2 linked regions of the Macaca fascicularis genome follow. The protein of the gene in region 2 purifies or fractionates together with the protein of the main gene of each other region. This does not show direct contact. Links are inferred from orthologs where the notes say so. Each region holds a gene or a part of one and is shown on either strand. Other genes may lie near its edges.

Evidence for each region. Proteins that work in one complex are often made in the same cells at the same time.
Region 1: the proteins of NEUROG3 (region 2) and C1QBP purify together in Homo sapiens (affinity purification with mass spectrometry; 3 studies listed by BioGRID and IntAct, counting the BioPlex papers as one, with this or other methods). This does not show direct contact. The link is inferred for Macaca fascicularis from reciprocal best matches to the Homo sapiens genes NEUROG3 and C1QBP.

Annotation. Positions count from the first base shown.
Region 1 is NC_088390.1:5,502,440-5,506,666, reverse strand, and holds the start of C1QBP (complement component 1 Q subcomponent-binding protein, mitochondrial), read left to right. Parts: upstream 1-1,386; 5' UTR 1,387-1,481; coding exon 1,482-1,713; intron 1,714-2,296; coding exon 2,297-2,447; intron 2,448-4,227.
Region 2 is NC_088383.1:76,857,986-76,862,325, forward strand, and holds the start of NEUROG3 (neurogenin-3), read left to right. Parts: upstream 1-1,489; 5' UTR 1,490-1,869; coding exon 1,870-2,517; 3' UTR 2,518-4,340. UniProt on the Homo sapiens protein: Acts as a transcriptional regulator. Together with NKX2-2, initiates transcriptional activation of NEUROD1. Involved in neurogenesis. Also required for the specification of a common precursor of the 4 pancreatic endocrine cell types.

The DNA.
Region 1 (4,227 bases), on a different chromosome or scaffold from region 2:
CCAAACCCTGTCCTTGGGTTTTTATGGAAGCTTCTGGACCTATCTAAATGATACAAGCCGGCTTCTTGTCCCCAGAAAAATGATGTTCCATTAGAACTTGGATGCAGGGTCGGAGGTGCAGAGAGGGAAGGTCACAGAAATTACTCATGGATCCTGCCCTTCAGGATGTCACAGTCTGGTTGGGTTTAACCCGGTTAAAACCAGCAATGCCAGGAGGTTTCTGTTGAAGAGAATGAAGCCTAAGGGCTGGGTGCGCACAAGCATGAGTTCTAAGCCGATGGAAAAAAGGAGGTTCTAGGAAGGCCTCTTTCAGGAAAACCCTGACCTCTTCCTTTGCTCTTACAACAATCAGCACAGAAGAGTTCTGTGACCAAAGGTTTGGGTTTTTTCCCTCCACACTAAGCAGCAGACACCAGCGGGGTGTCCTCCAATTCAATCCCAACATTATCTACCTGGAGACAGTGTCAGATCCCATGAGACAGTGTCAGATCCCATAGGTTGAGGGCTCAGTCCCCAAGACCGCCCCGACCTTCAGACAGCAATGGCAAGTCTGGGCCTCTGAAACTTCCGACCAGCCCGCTTCAAGTGGGGGTTCCCACGACCCCCCTCTTTGGGTTGTATTAACTCACTGGAGCAGCTCACAGAACTCAGGGAAACACTTTTACCGGTTTCATATAAAGGATATTACCAAGGATACAGATGAGGAGATGAGCAGGGTGGGCAGTGGGGAAGAAGCTCCGATCTTCCTCGCCGTCCCTGGGCCACCACCCTCCAGGAACCTCCACGTATTCAGCTATCAGAGGCTCTGCAAACCCTGTCCTCATGGGTTTTTATGGAAGCTTCTGGACATCAGCATCCCTTCCCCCAGGGCATAGGGTGGGACCTTCTCTGGGAAGGGACTTAAGACCCATAATCAGAAATGTGGGAGATTAGAGTCCTGCATTGGGGCGGGTGAAAGGAGGGCGGGAGAAGGGGAGAGTGAGAGTCTGTTTCCTGAGGCCTAACACACCCAACATTATCACAGAACACTGTAACGAGGGCTATGGGAGTTACGACCCAGGAACTGGGGATGAAAACCAATAAATACATAATATAACACCACAGCCTCCTAGAGGAAAGTGACCGTGTAAGGGGCTGGTGAGAGCTGGGGGAAGACAAGAGTGCATTCCACACAGCCCAAAAGCCTGGCGTGCCTTGAAAACAGTAGGTGGAAGCGGCCACTAGAAAGAATTAAACAGCTTCGGACAGAGGACTCAGGCCAGCGCAGCAAGAAGGCTCCGGAAACCGGATTCGAGGCTTCCCGGGCTGCACCGGAGGCCTCCAGCAGAAGGCGCGATTCCGCCTGGGGCCTTAGGTCCTCAGTGCGCCGGCGCGGGAAGCGCTTCCGGGCAAGGGCGGGGCTTCCGGCGGCGCTTTAGGTCGCGGGGTACTTGGGCCTGGATTGTCCTTTGCATCTGCACGTGTTCGCAGTGGATTGCGCGATGCTACCTCTGCTGCGCTGCGTGCCTCGTGTGCTGGGCTCCGCCGTCCCCAGCCTCCGCGCTGCCGCGCCCGCCTCGCCTTTCCGGCAGCTCCTGCAGCCGGCGCCCCGGCTGTGCGCCCGGCCCTTCGGGCTGCTCAGCGTGCGCGCAGGTTCCGAGCGGCGGCCGGGCCTCCTGCGGCCTCGAGGACCCTGCGCCTGTGGCTGTGGCTGCGGCTTGCTGCACACTGAAGGTGAGGTTCGCGCACGCGGGCCAGGGGTGTGGTTTGCGGTTCACGGAGGGGAAAAGACCAGGAGTGGGGCCTGCAACCGACCTCCGAGGTCTGGGACATTTTTCCATTGATTGGCAACCAGCGGGTTAAACCCACGTGTGATCATATTCCCCCCACCTCCCCTATCCACCAGTTTCATTTTCTGTTGGTAGGGGGGTGAATAAAATTAAATACTAGAGGGTACCTTCATCCTTAGTCTTATTCTCTCGAAAGTGGACTTTTGGGAAAGCCCAAGGTCGTGTTTGAAAATAGCATACGATACAACTATCGTTTGGCAAGTGGAAGAGGATGATCGGAAATTCTTCTGCTTTATAGCGGAAAGTGGTAATGCGTTCATTGTTGGAAATCACTTTTCCAGCATCAGGCTCAGCTTCCCACTAATATTATGGTATTTTTACAGATAAGGAAACTGAGGCTTCTAGAGTAACTGTAATAGCAGAGAGATTAGAAATAGTCCAGGTTTCTGGCTGCGATAACCAGGGTAATAGTTTTATGTTTTAGACTAACTGGCTTTCCTTTTTATGTATATGGATTTCTTTTCTAGGAGACAAAGCTTTTGTTGATTTCCTGAAGGATGAAATTGAGGAGGAAAGAAAAATCCAGAAGCATAAAACCCTCCCTAAGATGTCTGGAGGTTGGGAGCTGGAACTGAATGGGACAGAAGCGAAATTAGTGCGGAAAGTTGCCGGGGAAAAGTAAGTACTGGTCTGGGGATCCCAGGGCACCGACTCCCTTAACCTTGCAAGACCCGTCCTGGGTCATCCCTAGAAGAGCCTTGAGTTCAGGTGTGGATAAATGGTTTTCAAGAGAGTGAAGGATTCAATTGGACAGCTTCATAAGGTCCAGGCAGTCCATTCACTGAACACAAATTTGCTGTGGGCTGGTTACTAAGGAGACAAAAATGTAGCGCAAAAAAGTACTGACAGAATCTGTTTGATCTCTGATTTACAGCGCTGATACAGTAGCACCCTGCTCTCTCTAATGTTTAGCTTGGGTGAAAATGCAAGGCATGTAACTTATATGTAACAGGATGGGGTTCCACTGTAGTAAGGGCTGCCATCAGAGGCGGGGAGTTTGTGACCTAAGTCAGGTGCCCCACCTTCTCCTAAACTGTTAGTGTTTACACTTTTCTGCATTATAGTCATCCATAATCTCATTACACAGATAGACATTTGTCATCTTCCAGATTTTTAAATTGAGGCTGGGTGCAGTGGCTCACGCCTATAATCCCAGCACTTTGGGAGGCAGAGACGGCAGATCATGAGGTCAGGAGATCGAGAACATCCTGGCTAACACTGAAACCCTGTCTCTACTAAAAATTTTAACAGGGTGTGGTGGCAAGCACCTGTAGTCCCAGCTACTCAGGAGGCTGAGGCAGGAGAATCGCTTGAACCCCCGGGTTTCAGTGAGCCGAGATGGCGCCACTGTACTCCAGCCTGAGGGACAGAGCAAGACTCCATCTCAAAAAAATAATAAATAAATAAATAAATTGAATTTTCTTTATAATTGACCTTATGATGTATATGTAATTCTTTTTTAAAATCACAGCTTTAATGTGATTTAATTTATATGGCATAAAATTTACCCATTTATTGAAGTTTATTAAATTAAGTGGTTCTTAGTCCTCACAGAATTATGCATCGGTTACCACTACCTAATTCTAGAACATTGTTGTCAATCCCCAAACAATACCTATTAGCAGTCACTCATTATTCCTCCCTCTAGCCACCCCAGGTAATCACTAAGCTACTTTATGGATTGCCTCTTTTGGACATTTCATATAAATGGAATCATACAATTTGTAGCTTCCTCCCCACCCCACGGAGTCTTGCTATTACCCAGGATGGAGTGCAGTGGCACGATCTTGGCTCACTGCAGCCTCTGCCTCCCGGATTCGGACAATTCTCCTGCTTCAGCCTCCTGAGTAGCTGAGATTACAGGCATGCGTCCAGTTAATTTTTGTATTTTTAGTAGAGATGGGGTTTCGCCATGTTGGCCAGGCTGGTCTCAAACTCCTGACATCGTGATCCGCCCTCCTCGGTCTCCCAGAGTGCTGTGATTACAGGTGTGAGCCACCCTGCCCAGCCTGTTTACATTTTTAATTGTTGGGTTGTAAGAGTTCTTTAGTTTTGACCGGGCACGGTGGCTCACACCTTTAATCCCAGCACTTTGGGAGGCCGAGGCAGGTGGATCACAAGGTCAGGAGATCAAGACCATCCTGGGTAATGCAGTGAAACCCTGTCTCTACTAAAAGTACAAAAAATTAGCCAGGTGTAGTGGCGGGCGCCTGTAGTCCCAGCTACTCAGGAGGCTGAGGCAGGAGAATGGCATGAAGCCCAGAGGCAGAGGTTGCAGTGAGCCGAGATCACGTCACTGCACTCCAGCCTGGGCGACAGAGTGAGACTCTGTCTCAAAAAAAAAAAGAATTCTTTAGTTTTTCTGGGTATAGTGATCTTACCAAATTAATGATTTGCA
Region 2 (4,340 bases):
GAAAGGTTTCCAGAGAGCGCTACCAGGGGCAACCCCAGGGGCTTGGGGAGTCCCTACCTTGTGCTCACTGTGCGATGCCCTAGTGATGCCGAGGCAGGGGGGTGGAGCAGGTGACTGCTGGCAGCCGCTGTCTGTCTGTGATTGGACCGAAGGACTAAGGGGAGAAAAAGTTTATCTGCTTCTCCCAGTGCCTGCACACCGTGATGGTTCAAAAGACACAAGGGGGAGGGGCGCCGCGGCTCTGCTTCCCAGCGCTTTGGGAGACTGAAGTGAAAGGAACGCTTGAGCCCAGGAGTTCGAGACCATCCTGGGCAACAAAGCAAGACCGCCCCTGCCATACAAAATAAATTAGCCGAGCACAGTGGCGCACGCCTGTAGTCTCAGCTACTCAGAAGGCTGAAGTGGGAGGATAGCTTGAACCTAGGAGATCGAGGCTGCAGTGAGCCGTGATTGCACCACTGCAGTCCAGCCTGGGTGACAGAAAGAGACCCTGTTTTGTTTTTGGTTTTGGTTTTGGTGTTTTTCTGTTTGTTTTTGTTTTTTTTGTTTTTTGGGTTTTTTGTTTTTGTTTTTGTTTTTTTTTGTCTGTTTGTTTAAAAAAAAAAAAAAGACGCAAGAGCTCACTGTGAACTCCTGGTTCCTTCCTCCCCTCCTCACACTTCCCAGAACTCTTCCTGTCACGGTTCCTAGACAGAATGCTGGGATACTATCCACAAGCTGTAGTAGGCTTGTAATAATGGAATGTCCCCTTGAGGGGTCCCCCCCACAGTCACCCGCTGCCTCTGGAGTGAGATCTATGGGGGTGGGGTTCTAAGCGCCTCTGGGGAGGGTGAGGTAGCATTTCAGGGTGTGGCAGAGGCTCGGACACCCCCAATAGAAGGTCTGTGAATGGAAGGGACATAGGCAGGAGCTCTCTCAGTGATGGCCCTTGTCTTCCAGGATGAAGAGAGGCAGTGAAACACCAGGAGAGCAGGGCGTACTTTAGAATAATTCCTGGACCCTTCTCCAGGCTGCTAGTCAGGACAACGAGCTCCTGGTTGTCTCCGCCACTATCTTGCTATGCGATTTCGGACAAGCCATCTCCCTCACTAAGCCTAAATTTCCCCATGTGTAACGTGTGGGCATTGTACACTAGAGGCATCAAAGTCCCCTCCAGGACAGATGCTAAGTAAAGATAGGCTAGGAGCAAAGCGGTCTGGGGTGGCCAGACGAGAGCCACACGAGGCCCTTCTCACTGGGCGAGGCTCTTTGAGGAACTGAGAGTTGCTGGGACCCAGCCCGCGGCGAGAGAGCAAACAGAGCGGCGCTCCCCTCCCCCGACCCCGGCCCTTTGTCCGGAATCCAGCTGTGCCCTGCGGGGGAGGAGCGGGCTCGCGTGGCGCGGCCCCAGGGCCCTGGAGCTGATTGGCCGGTGGCGCGGGCAGCAGCCGGGCAGGCACGCTCCTGGCCCGGGCCAAGCAGATAAAGCGTGCCAAGGGGCACACGACTTGCTGCTCAGGAAATCGCCGCGGTCTCACCTCCGCGCCGCGAGAGAGAGCGCGACAGAGGCCCGGGACCCCATTCTCTCTTCTTTTCTCCTTTGGGCTGGGGCAACTCCCAGGCTGGGGCGCCTGCAGCTCAGCTGAACTTGGCGACCAGAAGCCCGCTCAGCTCCCCACGGCCTAGCTGCTCATCGCTCTCTATTCTTTTGCGCCGGTAGAAAGGTAACATTTGGAGGCCGCCGAGGGACGGGCAGGGGAAAGAGGGATCCTCTGACCCGACGGGGGCTGGGAGGATGGCTCTTTTTGTTTTTTTCCACCTAGCCTTGGAATCGCGGACTGCGCCCAGTGACAGACTCAAGCTTACCCTTCCCTCTGACCCCGCCGTAGGATGACGCCTCATCCCTCGGGTGCGTCCACTGTCCAAGTGACCGGTGAGACGGAGCGGTCCTTCCCCAGAGCCTTGGACGACGAAGTGACCTGCCCCACGTCCGCTCCGCCCAGCCCCACTCGCACACGGGGGAGCTGCGCGGAGGCGGAAGGGGGAGGCTGCCGAGGGGCGCCAAGGAAGCTCCGGGCACGGCGCGCGGGACGCAGCCGGCCTAAGAGCGAGTTGGCACTAAGCAAGCAGCGACGGAGTCGGCGCAAGAAGGCCAACGACCGCGAGCGCAATCGAATGCACAACCTCAACTCGGCGCTGGACGCGCTGCGCGGTGTCCTGCCCACCTTCCCAGATGACGCGAAGCTCACCAAGATCGAAACGCTGCGCTTCGCCCACAACTACATCTGGGCACTGACTCAAACGCTGCGCATAGCGGACCACAGCTTCTACGCGTTGGAGTCGCCGGCGCCGCACTGCGGGGAGCTGGGCAGCCCAGAAGGCGGATCCCCCGGGGACTGGGGGTCCCTCTACTCCCCAGTCTCCCAGGCTGGCAGCCTTAGCCCCGCCGCGTCGCTGGAGGAGCGCCCCGGGCTGCGGGGGGCCACCTCTTCCGCCTGCTTGCGCCCAAGCACTCTGGCTTTCTCAGATTTTCTGTGAAGGGACCTGCCTGTCGCTGGGCTGTGGGTGCCAAGGGTAAGGGAGAGGGAGGGAGCCGGAGCCCTAGAGGGTGGCCGATGGCGGCGACCCTCAAAAGCACTTGTTCCTTCTGCTTCTCACTGGCTGACCCCTGGCTGGCCCAGGCCTCCGCGGGGGCTGCAGGCTGGGTTCATTCCCCGGCCCTCCGAGCCGCGCCAACTCACGCAGCCCTTGCTGCCCGCGCGAAGTGGGCATTGCAAACTTCGCTCATTTTAGGCCTCCTCCCTGCCACCACGCCATAATCTCATTCTAAGAGTACGAGAATGGTAGCACTACCCGGCCGGAGCCGCCTACCGTCTCGGGTCGCCCTACCCTCACTCAAGTCTGTCTCTCAGTCTCTTACCACCCCTCCTCCAATGTGATTCAATCCAATGTTTGGTCTCTCAGCGCTTGCTCCCCTTGCCCTGCTCCAAAGACGCTGCCGATCTTCTCTACTCCCAATCAGGTCCGGCGTTTCAGGGCGCCTCACTCTGCCTTAAAGCCACGAAGGCGACCCTCTGCCTTCTCCTCGTGCACTTTTCGGAGCCATTGCCCTCCCGGGGCGGAAGACCAGGCTATGAACTGGGAAAGCCCAGCCCGGCCAGGGAGCACCTCCCCAGCCTCCCTGCGAGCTGCGCCTGAAACGTGAGCTGCGCTGCAGGTGCCTGGAGCACCGCGCATGTTTTTTGTTTTGTTTTGTTTTTTTAATCGGTTTGTAAATTATATGATGTCTTTTGAAATCAAGTTTGGTACAGTAAATTATATGCCCCCCCCCCGCGCCGTTTTACACATTTGTATTTATTAATGAGATTTCACAGCAAGGAAAAGTCTATATTTTGTATATTAGATTATTTAGGGATTGCTGGGTGAGATTTTAAGCCAATTAAAAAAAATGGACCTTCAGGAAACCTTGGCAAGGTGACTTCATTGTGCGTTGGGGAGAGGAGAGCTACAGTCACTACAGTTGAGGAAGAGCACCTCTGTCCAAGGAGAGGGATGACACTCTTTCTAGAGGTCTGGACTAGAGCCAGGGCAGATTGGGTTTGGAGAGCTGGAAGTCTTATAAGTAATTATTGGTCCAGCCCCCTTTTTTCTATGTAGGGCAATGAATCCTCTTATTTCAAAGAGCGGTTTAGAAGAAAGACAAGCCTCCAGCTAGGACTACTGACTCTCACTTGCCGGCCCTTTCCCCAACTCCACCAGCCTAGCTCTAGAGCAACTGTCGGGGAAGGCAGACAGTAATAATTCAATTGCAGACTCAGAGTCCTTGGAAACACAGCTGGGCTGGGCATCCTAGGAATTTTCCCAAGGTGCTTAGAGGCCTAGCACATCCCCTGAGCATATTTTACTCAGGCACTGAGGTGGCTGTGTCTTGAACTTGTTGAGCTGAGCAGCCAGGAGCAAAGAAAGTGGAGTGTCTGACTGGAATCTCCAGCAACACCCCCTCCCTCGTTACCTGGCAGCCTTGATTGAAAATTTATCAAGAAACTGTTCAAGGTTTCCAGCCACACCATCTCTCTTACTGGCAAGGTGGAAGGACTGGTGCAGCATGGGCACTGAAATCTGTCCCAGGAGTGCCAGTAGAACACCCCTACATGACTTCAGGGACCCTAGGACCTCAGAGAATATGGTCTAAGCTGTAAGGATCCACAGAGTTCGCCTGCTGCTTGGGAATAGGAAAGTGGAGGACAGGCACCCTACCTGCTAGTTGAACTCCAGAGACCTCCTTGAATTGGCCAGGGGTGTCCTGGGAAGAAGTGGGCCAACCCAGGTCGGGTGTGGTGCTGCCAGACCCCTGGAGCTGG